2 linked regions of the Drosophila melanogaster genome follow. The protein of the gene in region 2 purifies or fractionates together with the protein of the main gene of each other region. This does not show direct contact. Each region holds a gene or a part of one and is shown on either strand. Other genes may lie near its edges. The genes, in order: Tep4 and CG4949.

The links.
Region 1: the proteins of CG4949 (region 2) and Tep4 purify together in Drosophila melanogaster (affinity purification with mass spectrometry, with the first as the bait; one large-scale study listed by BioGRID). This does not show direct contact.

The regions. Positions count from the first base shown.
Region 1 is NT_033779.5:19,548,084-19,555,921, reverse strand, and holds the start of Tep4 (Thioester-containing protein 4), read right to left. Parts: upstream 6,230-7,838; 5' UTR 6,077-6,229; coding exon 5,994-6,076; intron 4,241-5,993; coding exon 3,509-4,240; intron 3,450-3,508; coding exon 3,023-3,449; intron 2,967-3,022; coding exon 2,629-2,966; intron 2,561-2,628; coding exon 2,007-2,560; intron 1,953-2,006; coding exon 1-1,952.
Region 2 is NC_004354.4:17,076,878-17,081,740, forward strand, and holds CG4949 (uncharacterized protein), read left to right. Parts: upstream 1-1,962; 5' UTR 1,963-2,056; coding exon 2,057-2,131; intron 2,132-2,190; coding exon 2,191-2,709; 3' UTR 2,710-3,545; coding exon of another isoform or gene 3,546-3,709; 3' UTR 3,710-3,802; coding exon of another isoform or gene 3,803-3,992; 3' UTR 3,993-4,081; downstream 4,082-4,863. Other genes in the region: CG8945 (uncharacterized protein), read right to left, coding at 3,546-3,709, 3,803-3,992, 4,082-4,443; CG4955 (uncharacterized protein), read left to right, coding at 4,707-4,863.

The sequences.
Region 1 (7,838 bases), on a different chromosome or scaffold from region 2:
GGTGGTCTGAATCTTAAAGCTCGGCTTCGGCTCCTTCTCCACCAAGTTGTATTGGTAGCTTATCTGGACCATAGCAGCTCCAGTTCCCTTGGCTTCAAACTCCAGCGACTTGGTGCCCTGTGGGAACTCGACTGTCTGGAGGAGCAGGTCATTTTCCTCCGATGTGTTGAGCTTCTCGGTCTTTTCACGCTTTCCCTTGTTGGAAACGGTCACCTCCCACTTGGCCGCCTCGTAGCCCGACTTCTCAGCGAACTTAATGAGGGCGGTGAGGCCGACAACCGTGTCCTGGCTGGAGGCAAATCCTCCGAAGCCATTACGCTGGGCGATCAACCAGCGAACGGTGTTCAGAACAGAGTCGGCTGTCTCCTGGTCTGAATCCAGAAGGGAAAGCAGCGCATATGATGTGATCTCCACATCCTGACTCCAGATCCAACACCACCAGCGTCCGCAGTTCTTGGAGGCACGCAGCTTATCCAGATCCTCGGTCCACCAGGTGCGATCGTCCTCGTGTTTGGCCAGGGACTTAAGACTGGCCACCTGCTTGGCAGCTTCCGGCGCCTTGGCCTTTTGCAGGGCATAAATGGCAATGGATTTGGGCAGGAGCTCAATGGACTCGGCAGTATTGGCGCTCAGATAGGCAACCGCCTTGTCAATGGCAGCCTGGTTCGGTTTCTCCTCCTCCAGCAGGGCGAGCAAGGAATTTGCGGTCAATGTCAATAGAGATCGCTGGGAGCTATAGAAATACTCTCCGTGTTCCGTGAAGCTACCATTTTCTGCCTGTCGAGTTAACAGGAATTCGTAGCCCTTGGCCAGGATCTGCTCATCCAAGTCAATTATATCCTTGATCTTGCTAAACGAGCGCAGCACATAGGCCGTCAGCCAGGTGGAACCATTGCGCACTGGATCCTCCTGCCTCCATTTGGTGGGCCCAAAGGAACTGAAGCTGCCGTCGTCGTGGCGATAGTGCAACATATGTTGGTATCCGTCCTGCAGATTCCTCTTGATGCGAGTGTCCAATGCAGGTGTGAGTTTCTTGATGCTCTTCAGATAATCCCTCACCAGATAGTTGGGCACCAATTTGGACATGGTCTGCTCACCGCAACCGCTGGGCAATCGCAACAGGTTCTCAAGGTTCTTGACCACTGGTCCCAAGAGATCACCCACCAATCCGAATTCCACACGCTCGGAGTCGGGGACCACATCCTCCGGCACTTCCAGCTCGAAGGTGTTCTTAAACTCACCCGTATCCTTAAGATTGATAAAGAATGCCCTGTTCTGGTACTGGGTAATTCCTTCGGGCACTACCTTTAGCGGCTTGTGTATAGCATCTCCGGCCAGCGGTGAGATGGCCTTGAATTTCAGCAAAATATTTCCAATGACCTTGGGTCGGATCAAAAATGAGGCTCCTGCCGCTTCGTTGGCGCCCACTCTGATGTTCTGCGTACGCTTCTGGTCACCAATAACCTCATTCGAGGCATCCACGAAGTCATACTCTTGATCCTCGTTGTCCAGGGTCAGTTCCACGTCCAGTGTCTTGGGCAGGTAGTTAAAGACCAGTGCCGGTACATTGATCACCTCACCTCGCTTCACGGAGTATGGCAATCGAACGGAGACAAAGAACGGCTGGAATGTCTTGATATTTGTCTGATCATTGGTGACACCTAATCCCTTCTGGGGATGCAGTGAAAAGCCGGTGACCACCCAGTTGGTGATCGTATCGGGTATGGTCTTTACCCACTTGAACACCTCCTCCTCGGTGCTCTCGATATCGGCAAAGATCCAGGTCTCTGCGAAATTCTTTCGCACTACTGGTGCTGCAGATGCAGACGCACTTTCGGCGGAGAATCCCACGGCCTGAGTTGGTCCGCCAGCACCGGAATGGAATACATGACTATCATGTGCCACTGTAGTCTTTCTCATGGCGAAAGAGCTTCCACCAAATCCTTCTGTAACTTCCAATAATTGCAAATTAATGTGGTTTATTATTATGACAAATTTATACGTACGAATATTGTAGTCTGGGGCGGTGCGATTATAGAAGAAATAGGCATTGGTCATAGTCACGACTCCAGTTCGCTCTCCGGGGTAGTAGGAGTATCCACCCTGCCAGGGAGTTGAGGTGTCATAGCCATTTAGGCGCCAGTTGAAGGATTCCTTGTTCAAATCGTTGTTGCTGCCCAGCAGAAGGACACTCTGATCGACGGCCAACAATCCAACGAATGACTTTGGCGACGTCTTGATCTCCAGTGCAACGTCGGCACCCGGTTTAACTTCCGCGGGAGCCTTGATTTCGATCTGGTTCTGCAGCTCGACCTCCACACTGAATGTTTCCTCGGTATATCGGAACTCTCCTGTCTCATCCACGTAGTAGAAGTACACCCGACCATAGGGAGTAGTGAGGAAAGTGGGCTTAATGGTTACGTTGACGGTCGTTTGGGGTTCCGCGAGGTCCACACGTTTCGTTTCCAATATGTTTCCACGTCCCACAATGTTGTACACAAAGTATTTGAGCGGACGACTGGAGTTGAGGATTACTTGATACTCCTGCCCGATCTTGAGGCTGCAATAGAAGTATTGTATATGGTTATTTAAAATCGTGGAACCCTTGCTCAACTCAACTGTACTCACTTCCAGACGTCCTTGGGCCTCTGAACTTCTGCCCTGAACCACTCCTTTTCCTCTTCAGAGCTAGGATTTTCAATCTGTTTTGGTTCCCTGTAGGGATAAGTGGTGTACAGATCTCGTTTTTCATCGACGAACTCCAGCTCAATGCTATAGTAACGAGTAAAGTTGGCGATATCCGGCAAATCGGGAAGAACCACCTTGAAAGGCGCCACACCAGACGCATTCAAATGGCTTTCAAACACAAACGTTTTCTTCTCAATCGTTGGCAATTCCGGTTCTTGATGATCTGTTCCAAAGGCATAGAAAGCATAATTGCGTCGAATTCCTTCAGTGAACTTGGCCTAGAGTTAAAACGAATTTATAAGTAGTGACAGATCTCTTAAGATTTCTAACCCACCTTCACAACAGACTTGGTGTCTGTAATTAGTGAGCCGTCGACATATGTAATCTTGAAGTTAAGTTCATGTTCCTTGTCGGGCTTGAAGGAGAAGCAACTGGAGTAGTCAGTGCAGGACATCTCATACCGATAGGGGTACAGCTGCACACCGCCTGTTTCATTGAGCTTCACGCCGGTGAAGTCTTCCTCCACGGTAGCCGTAATCTGGGCATATGAAGAAGAGGTCTTGTGCGGCAGATAACTGGCGAAGTCCTTGAGATCCATGGTCAACTTGGCCTTGCCTCCGACCATGTCGGCGGTGCCAACAACAGAATGTCCGGGGTAGTCCGTTTGCACTGTCTTGCCGTCCACATTCTCCCAACTGCTCGTCGAGTCCAGATGGACATTGACAAGAACTTTACCATTCACGGGCTTACCATAGGTGTAGCTGGGGGATAATGCTGATATAAGAATGTCCTAAAGCATAAAACTTCCGGTAATACTTACTTGGCCTTCAGGACGACATTGAACTCGCCATCTCGCACTGAAACCTGCTGCGTGGCATCCATTTTGACGGAGTACTTGGGCAGCACGTACTTCTCCACCTCAAAGTTGACGAGCTCATCCGAGCGATGCCAGCGATGACCAAATCCTCCAAATTGTTTACGACCCCCAAAGTAAATACCTCCGTCGTGGTGCTGATCTCCATTCTGAACATGAAGGGACCAGGAGCCCAATGTGGCGAACTCGGAGAGCTCGAATTTGCCAGTGTAGACGCCACCGGTGGTCTTTATGTGTTTCTCCTGCTTGATGCGGTTCCTTTTGGAGTCCTCAAACCAAACCACCACTTCATCCTTAGCGGTATCCGGCCGCAGGTTCTCGTCCAGGAAGATCACACGATAGTTGATAGTATCACCGGGCTTGTACTTTCCCTTATCGGTCTGGATTTTAATGTATGGCTTGAAATTCTCCCAGTTCAGCTTGGTGGAGTTCTTGAACTCCAGTCCCTTGACGCCCTCCGCCGTCAGATTATATTCACCCGCCTCCAATGGGGGCAGTTTGAAGGTGATCTGCTTGAACTCACCGGCAGTGGCTAGTTCCACGGTCTCAGTTTTGTTGTAGGAGGGTCCAGTGATGCCCACTTTCAGGGTGACTGGCTCCTTGGTCTGATGGACAGCCACGGCCACATTGTAGTCACGGTGGGAGTGGATGGTTCCGGGACCCACAATGGTGTACTTGCTGGAAGCAAAGAAAACATCAACATTATTGTCATGAAAAACAAAATAAAATCAAATAACAATTCGGCCATAAAAAATTCCAAGAAGAGAAAAAAACATACACATATCCACTTGGAAATATTTGTAGTATTGTATTTGTATAATATATAGTATTGTATTTCTTGATAGTAACTATAGCTATCAATATTCAAATTATCAATATCAAATTCTTGACCATGCTCTAAGAATTCAAAAATAAATGTATATTGTCTAATCTCTAGGGAAACACAGAAATGAAACTTAAAACCATTAACCTCGACTTGATAATGTTCCCAATCTTTAAAAGGCAGTCTAAGATTCGGTTTAGGTTTTTGAGTTATGGTTTTTTTGATCTGTGACAGCAAATGATGAAATATATATGTATATATATATATAACGGATAATATTCCCAGAACCTGATCTTCTACTGAAAAGTATGAAACCGGCTTAGAGATTACATAATTCCAGCTTTTGCGATTAGCAATCTTTCTCGCACTTACAGTCCCCGATCACGTACACCAATATTGTTAGCCTGAACATCATTAACTTTTTTGGATTAGATTTGTTCCAGCCTTTTATGTTAGACTTCAAGTTTATGACATTTTTAAGTGTGTTCCATAACCCACCTTCATATTCGTTTCTAATTACTAATAATTGGCGGGACAGGAAAAAGTACAGATTTAAGATCGTGTGAAAGATTGATCAGCGAAACCATTGAGGCAAACAAAGTATGTGACGTGATCCTCTTGTTTGAGTAAAAAATATAAAAATCCATATTCAAAATGGCTTACAGTGAAACTCAATTAGCATCATAAGTTGAGCTCAACAAAAATGAAGAAAATAAAACACCCCTCAACAAGGTGAGATTAAAGTGGCGATGGCACCTTCAACTCAAAAATTAAATACCAGATATTAGTTCGGAGTAACTAAACCTCTTTAAAAAAGAAATTCTGAATATTTTTGAAGTGAGTGAATAGTTGTGATCGGACTATCGTACCAGATTTTCAATTTTATTGAATTTCCCCAAATTCACCCTTTTAGGTGCTCATCGTCACTACGTGGACAGAAGTCTAGTGTTTAATCTTATAGGTGTGATAAGGAACGATGTTTAACATTTGCTATATACATAATTATATATCTAAAAGTTAAATTACTATTTGAAAAATGTAGAGCAAAATGTTATTAGGTTAGTGATTTGTAAAAACCGTAAAAAAACTCTCCTATAAATCCAAGGACAAACCAGATGGTATAAACAATTAAGCTAATAGGTGATTTTGCGTATAAATAACAGCTTAATTACCTTGATGTTCATTAAAAACGGCCCTATCTGTATACATATATGCATACCTAATTAATTGAAATATTCGACGACAGCCATACAGTGACTGTGAATATAATAGTGGTAATAAGTAATAAACATAGATAATATAGTTTGGATTGCAGTAATCTGTGTTTAAGTGTTCGAGTGAGACGGGAATCCAACCACTAGCGTATTAGGGAAATGGTTAAAATTTTTAGCCATCAGTTTTTATTCAAATTATCAACCGAATAACCGAAGTAAGAACAATACGTTTTATAGGCCAGCTTTGTAAAGAACTATAGTTTTAGATATCTGGCTTTGATTATCGCCTATATTTTTGCGAATTCCTAACCCGACTCTACTAATACTCTAACCGTAGATGTGTTTTAAAATCGATCCGATCATATAGTATAGTATTTGTGGTATATGGACTTACCCCTCGGCTTTTACCGGTTCCATCGTCTGCAGCAAGGCCAAAATCACACAAAGCGAGACAGCAAAAGCGTCTGCGCGACGCATTTTGATTGGATTGGTGGTCAAATGAGGGCAAAAAGGATGGGAAATAAGAGCACAGATATTATAAGGCTATAATGCGCGGGATCGATGCTGGCGGAAGTTTGGTTAGCGACTGAGCGACTGCGACCGACTGGGATCAGAGCCGAGCTGGGACTGGTTCGGTTCGATGGCCCACGGATTTGTTATAATACCGAGCGACTCTAAAACCCCAGGCCCGGCAGACGAAGCCGAGCTCCAGTGGGGCGAGCAAGTCGTAAAAAAAAAAACTGATAAAAATTATAAGTAAATAAAACTGGCAGAGTGTGTGTTGTTGTGGTGTGTGTGTGTGTGTGTGTGTGTGTGGCGGTGTATGTGGTGCGCCCACTGAAATCGATGACGCGAGTTGGGCAAACAAAACCTTAACAATAATAACATGGCCACAAAAAACGCCGGCACTCCAATATCAATATTCATTCGTGAGTATTCACTTGGGCTAGTTGCCGCTGAAATATCATTCGTAATTTGATTTAAGAAGGAATTTATGGGAATTTACTGGTCAAAGGGATCAAAGATGATTATTTCTAATTATCATATTTACAAATATTACATTTGTGAGTATTCACTTGGACCAATTTCAGCTTAAAAATCATTCGTAATTTGATTTTAGAAGGAAGTTAGGGGAACATACTGTTCAAAAGAATACAATACAGGATGGATTTATGGGAATTTACTGTTCAAAAACACCAAAGATGAATGTTTCTATTTTCATCATATTTTCAAATATTGATTCGAGTATTCACTCGGGCCAGTTTCAATCATAATTGGACTAATAAATGGGAAATAGGGATTTACTGCTAAAAAATTGCAAAAAATTAATGTTTCGAATTTCACCATTTTTAGAAATGAATATATTATATGAATATTACGAATAAAGGGCGAACAAATAGGCGTGACTGTATAGAAGAACAGAAAGTTGGTATTACTGATTGCCCATGAGTGATATTTCAGTTATTTGTCACAGAACTATCGTCATGCAATAGTCAAATTATAACAACTTATTCATATTTCGTGTGGGGTTTTTCGATAATTAACACTTTAATTGTCACCAATAACTGTCGCTTCGTGTTTCGCAATGATTTGAAATATAGATTTTCCTTTTAAATAATTTACGTACATTATCTGGTTTTTGGAAAAGCCCAAATGATTTTTTGCGAAGATCTCGCGTAAAATCCCAATATATGAATTGAATACAAATATTTATGTTTTTGTCGTGTGGCAAATGACGTGCGTGCAATATTATTTGGACTTGTTGATTTGCAGTGTTAACGGAACTGCCTCCTAAATCGAAATACGGAGACCAACTGACTAGGCGTTGTGTACATATATATCGAAAACTCTTTCCTGCTCTCTCTGAGTCAGCTGTTGTTGTTTTGTTAGATGTCGCTCTCTTGATTTGCCGAATGATGACGTCACTTGGCTGTATTTCACACTGCCTTGCAAATGAAACGGGTATATAATGTAGCGATGAGTAATGCCAATATATAAGAGATATTCGCTCAACTGCGTTTCTCTTGGTGATTCCCCGTTTGTTCTTTCTCTCGTGCGGTTCGGTTCCGTGTAATCTATAAGTAGTGATATTGGGTGATATGAATACGCTGCAATCTAGGAAAGGAATTAGCTTTAAAACGCTGTAATTTCATGATTAATTAAATTGTGGTGATGTATGGTGAATTAATTTGCTTGTAACAAGTAATCTTCCTTGGCTTTCACCCAGAAAGTATACTGC
Region 2 (4,863 bases):
TTATTGCCGATATTACGGTAGATTGAAAATAATATTTGATATATTACCCATCGTTCATACGCTGCGGTTTTCTAGCATGCATTACCATCAATGCAAGTTTTTCGCCAAATACGCTGCTGCTGCTTCTGTTGGTTTTCCCTCTCTCTCCTGCTCCTCCTCCTGCTGCTGCTTCTTCCGCTGCTGCTGCTGCTGCTGCTGCTTATGCGTCTGCTTCCTCTTCTCCTTCGTCGACTGCTGTTGCTGGTAGTGCTGCTGCTGCTTCCTCTTCTCGTGGAGAAGATAATGCAGCCTTATTCCGATTTTATCCAATATTCTGGGGCCTTTGGCGCCTCCTGTTTGCTCCTCCTTTTGCCTCCACCGCTTCCTCTTCTTCTTCTCACCTGCCAAGGCACGCTCGCTTGTATGTGTGTGTGTGTGTGTTGTGGTCTGCTTGTATGGGAGGCTCTCAGTGGCATGTGTGTGTGTGTGCTTTTCGTCTGTGTGGCCCGCTGACTCGGTGTTTGTGTGGCGTATATGTGTGCCTGAATTGCGGTCGCCTTATTATCGGCTTATTTTGCTGCCTCCTAAAAGTACAAACATTCATAGCAATCCTTTAGACAGCTTCCTTTTTGTCCTCTCCTTAATGCAATTAGCATTCGGAACGCCTTTAATTTTTCACTTAAAGCACACACGGCATTCGCCTCTGCGTGCACGACCGTGAGTGACTGTGTGCGTGCGTCTGTGCATGTGTGTGTGGTGTCGCTTGATCCGTATTTCGTTTGACTTCTTTTCAATTTTACTCCCTTTTTTTCTTGGTACCTTACCGCAATTCGCAATTTGCCGCTCGCCTTCTTTGCTGGGCTGCAATCGCCGCATTTATTTGCTCAGCATTGAACGACAATTGTTTAATTATATGCCGACTTGCTGTGTTCGCTTTTTGGCCTCTATACTTGATGATTTTTTTCAATTCTTTTGCATTACGCTTTGTGCGGTCTGTTCGTCGGCACGGCTGTGTTGAGTTTGCCAGCAATCGGTCGCTGCGTGCGGCTATCCCTCTCGCGCGGCACGCTATGCGGGTGCGAGAAGAGTTCGGCTATATGTGCCAATTGGCTGGTTGATATGGTGGACTCTAGGTGGCGCCCCGTTTGTGGTATTTTTTAGTGCCTGACACCGCTAGGCGTTGGACGGATTGCAAAATGGTCACTCTGTAGCCGGGGATGCCAACTAGGTTCGCATTTAAATTCTTTTTTGGTTACTGTTAAATAATAAATATATATATAAAAACATAACTTTTAACTTTTAACTTTTAATTTGACTTTTGTTATTGTACATATTATGTATATACGCAATAGCTGATCTTTATAAACTTTCGATGATACTGAAATAGTTTTAGATATAGATAGTTTATATTAATTTATCATATATTGCACAACATCATTTCGATAGTATCGCATAATCATTTCGGGCACACTGCTCAAGGGTATTCCTATCGGATGTATTGTTTCTCGATAAGCCGACTTAAAAATTATATGTTTTTTAAAAAAAATTATATATACATATTTACACTTGAGAAATAAGAAAAAGCATTTGCATATTATTAAATTCAATAATTTTTTAATTTAATATAAAACAAAAGAACAAAGAATGATAATTCAAACTGAAAAACAATGAGATTTCTTTTCATATGCAAGATCTTAAGGTGGTATAACTGGTAATAATAATTATTTGACCTGCTTTGCTAAATGCCCTTTCCGACTCCGACGAAGTTGTCCATCGACTTGCGTCAGTTTCACCACAAACCCAAAATATATATGACTGCAAGCTAATATTTGAAAGTAATTAATTATTTGAATTAATTAAAATAGTTGAAGAAATTCTAGTGATTAACCTAAAAACATCGATAGTCTGAAATAAGCATCGATGTTTGGAATATTTAAAAAAAAACCTCGGTGCATCGATATTAGCATCGATGTTTCGGCACCTCTATTAAAAACTCATCCCGATACCGATAATAGCGGCAGAAGAATTTTAGAATTCCTTAAATATATATTGTTTAATTTGTAAGCATTTTTAAGGAATGAGTTTGAGCGACTGCAACAATAACTATATATATTTGACGGGCAGTGAGGATTACGCCCTTAATTTGGCAAAGGTAAGTTCTGAACATCGGATTCAGGTCGGTTTTTGAACATCAAATTGCATTTCTTTTAGCTATGCGAACGCTTTGCCACCAAAGAAAAGCGCGTCTTACTGATCACCAGTCGCCAGCAGGGAATGGCAAAGCGCTATCCATGGGAGGCCCATAACTGCAGCAAATACCTGACCATTCTGCAACTGGTGGATGTGGAGAGCACCCCGCTTCGCATGCTGGAAATGCAGGATAGCGCCGAATCCTTGCGCAGTCCCGATTTGATAGTCTTTGATCTGCAGTCGCTCGTTTTGGATGCACTACTGCGTCCTGTGATGCAGCAGTGCTCCACGAACAAAATGGTCCGGCAAATTGCCAAGTGCTCCGCATCCTTTGTGAATTACCGCGAAATCCTGGCCAATCTGGCGGAACAGAAGGCGGGCAAAAGCATCGACACCATTGTGGTCATGTCGCAGGAACCGTATCCCATGTCAGCAGCCCAGTTCAAGCTGCTTATTGGACTCTATTTCCACGGCAACGAGTGCCACACGAATTTTGCCAAGCTCTCGGCCAAGATCATGGTCTCCCAGAGATTCGCCTAGACGAAGGACAGAAGTTTGGAGCCACTACAGTGCCTTGGTAACCAGTTCCTGAGTTTAATCATAGCTGGCAGTATTGTAGTTATTCGCCGTATGCTCTTGCTTTTCAAACAATACTTACTTAGAACGTTTACCTTATGCATTATTAAAACATGCATTTTGTCAGGTTAGACGAATATTTTCAAAGCTGGAACGAATTTTCCAATCTCGAACGAATTTCGAGTTATTAAGACTGCATTTCCATTTTATTGACTTAAAGCTATTCATATTGCCTTCCCAAAAGATATCCAAATGGGGAACGGTCGAATATTTAAGAAAATGAATTTATAAAAGGCAAGGCACGCTATATTATATCCGCATATAATACTAAGACAGTGCGTACATTTGGCAAGAACTTAAGAAATACTGTACGTTGAAAATATCTCCCTACATGGCATCCATGCAAAATGTTATACGAAAGCGAAGCAATCGAATGCTCGATCAAATATAAGACTTTATTATAGTATACTATTTAGTCTAAAAGGGATTAAAACTACCAAAAAAAAATTGCTGATAATTAATTATAATATACATACATATAACAATAATATTTATTATGCTAAACGGAAATCTCAACTTAAGGGAATTTATATGAAATAAAAAAAAAATTTCGAATGCATAAGATACGTAAATGCAGCTAAAAGTATTGGAGAATGTATTCCGGAAATACGGCTAGTGATCTCCGGAACGCAAGCCACCAAAGCCCGTTTAAAAGGAACTAAAACTCATTCACATGTAGCCCCACCCCAAATCCCTGCTGCCTTCGTCTTCGATTGGAATCCGATCTCCGCATCCCAGCCTCATATGTAGTCCAGCATGCCGCTTATGATCTCAAAGGCATCCCGAGCCGTGGGCTCAATGGCGCTGCTGGGCAGCAGATAACCGTGCACTCCGTTGTCCGCCAGCTGGAGCGTGTAGCTGAAGGGAATTCCGATCTCGTAGGCGGCAAAAGCGTCCGCACAGCCTGGATAAATCAAGGAAGCCAAAGGATTGGCAAGGTCGGATAAAGATCTCTATTATATTCTACTTCGAAGCAAATAATATAAATATTACGCACCCGATCGCTGTTCAATTAGATCGTTGGATGCGTCGACCTTATATCGGGACTTACTACCCTTTTTGCGCAATCCATCGGTACCCACCATCGCCACGTCCAGAAAATCATCCAATCTTTCTGAATTGAAAGTGGAATTGGCCTTGACCGGATAGGATATCACCTGACCATAGGCCTGTAGGGAAATGTAAAGCTGCAAAAATAATGAATAAAGTTAATAAATCAAAAAATATATCTATTTTAGAGAGTTAATATAAAAATTATATATTGTTCTAAGCATACCTTTATCTGCGTCCTATAGTCCATAAGGAACTCAGATACTGCCTTGGTTTCCGGTTCAGAAAATGGCGCTGGACCGGCGTAGAACTCATTGCAGGGTGCCTTGGAGCTACCCCGTTTGCCCCAATGATACAGCCAGTTTCTGTCCAGGTCCACCCCGTAGCAGACCTTATCCGGACCCCGTTTTTGCTGGAGCCATGTCATCGCCGAGTCGAGGAGGCCACTGGGAGGTGGAGTCTGGTGCTGAGATCGCGACTTCTTCCAGAAACGATCGTACTCGTGGCTGTACGCATATCCGTCCGGATTCAGGACCGGCATTATGTACCATGTGGTGTTCCGGATGAACTCCACGTCCTCGTTGCTTTCTGTTGAGTAAACGTTTTATGGGTTATTTTTATACATAACTTTACATAATGCATATGAAATAAATGTTAATAAATATTAATTCTCTTAAGAAAATAAATACGTTGTTCAACCGATCAACGTAGCCGCTTTTCCCCAACTCAAATTACATTAGTTATCCCTTTGTCAGTCCGTTAGTCAGTATATTTGTAGACCCAGAAATCGATAGTGTATACTTTAGACCTTTACAGCTTGCCACTTCTCCTCCAGTTGGACCAAGATCAGAATGGAGAGGCGAAGACCCCGAAAGTCCTCGCGTAAATACGTGTGCTCCAAATCAAACTCTTCAGTTGGAGGAGGAGTAGAGGAAGACAGTGGCTCATCATTGCCTGCCACCGCCAAAGCGTTACTCCTCCAGCCGGACGGTAATAAAGCACCAACCA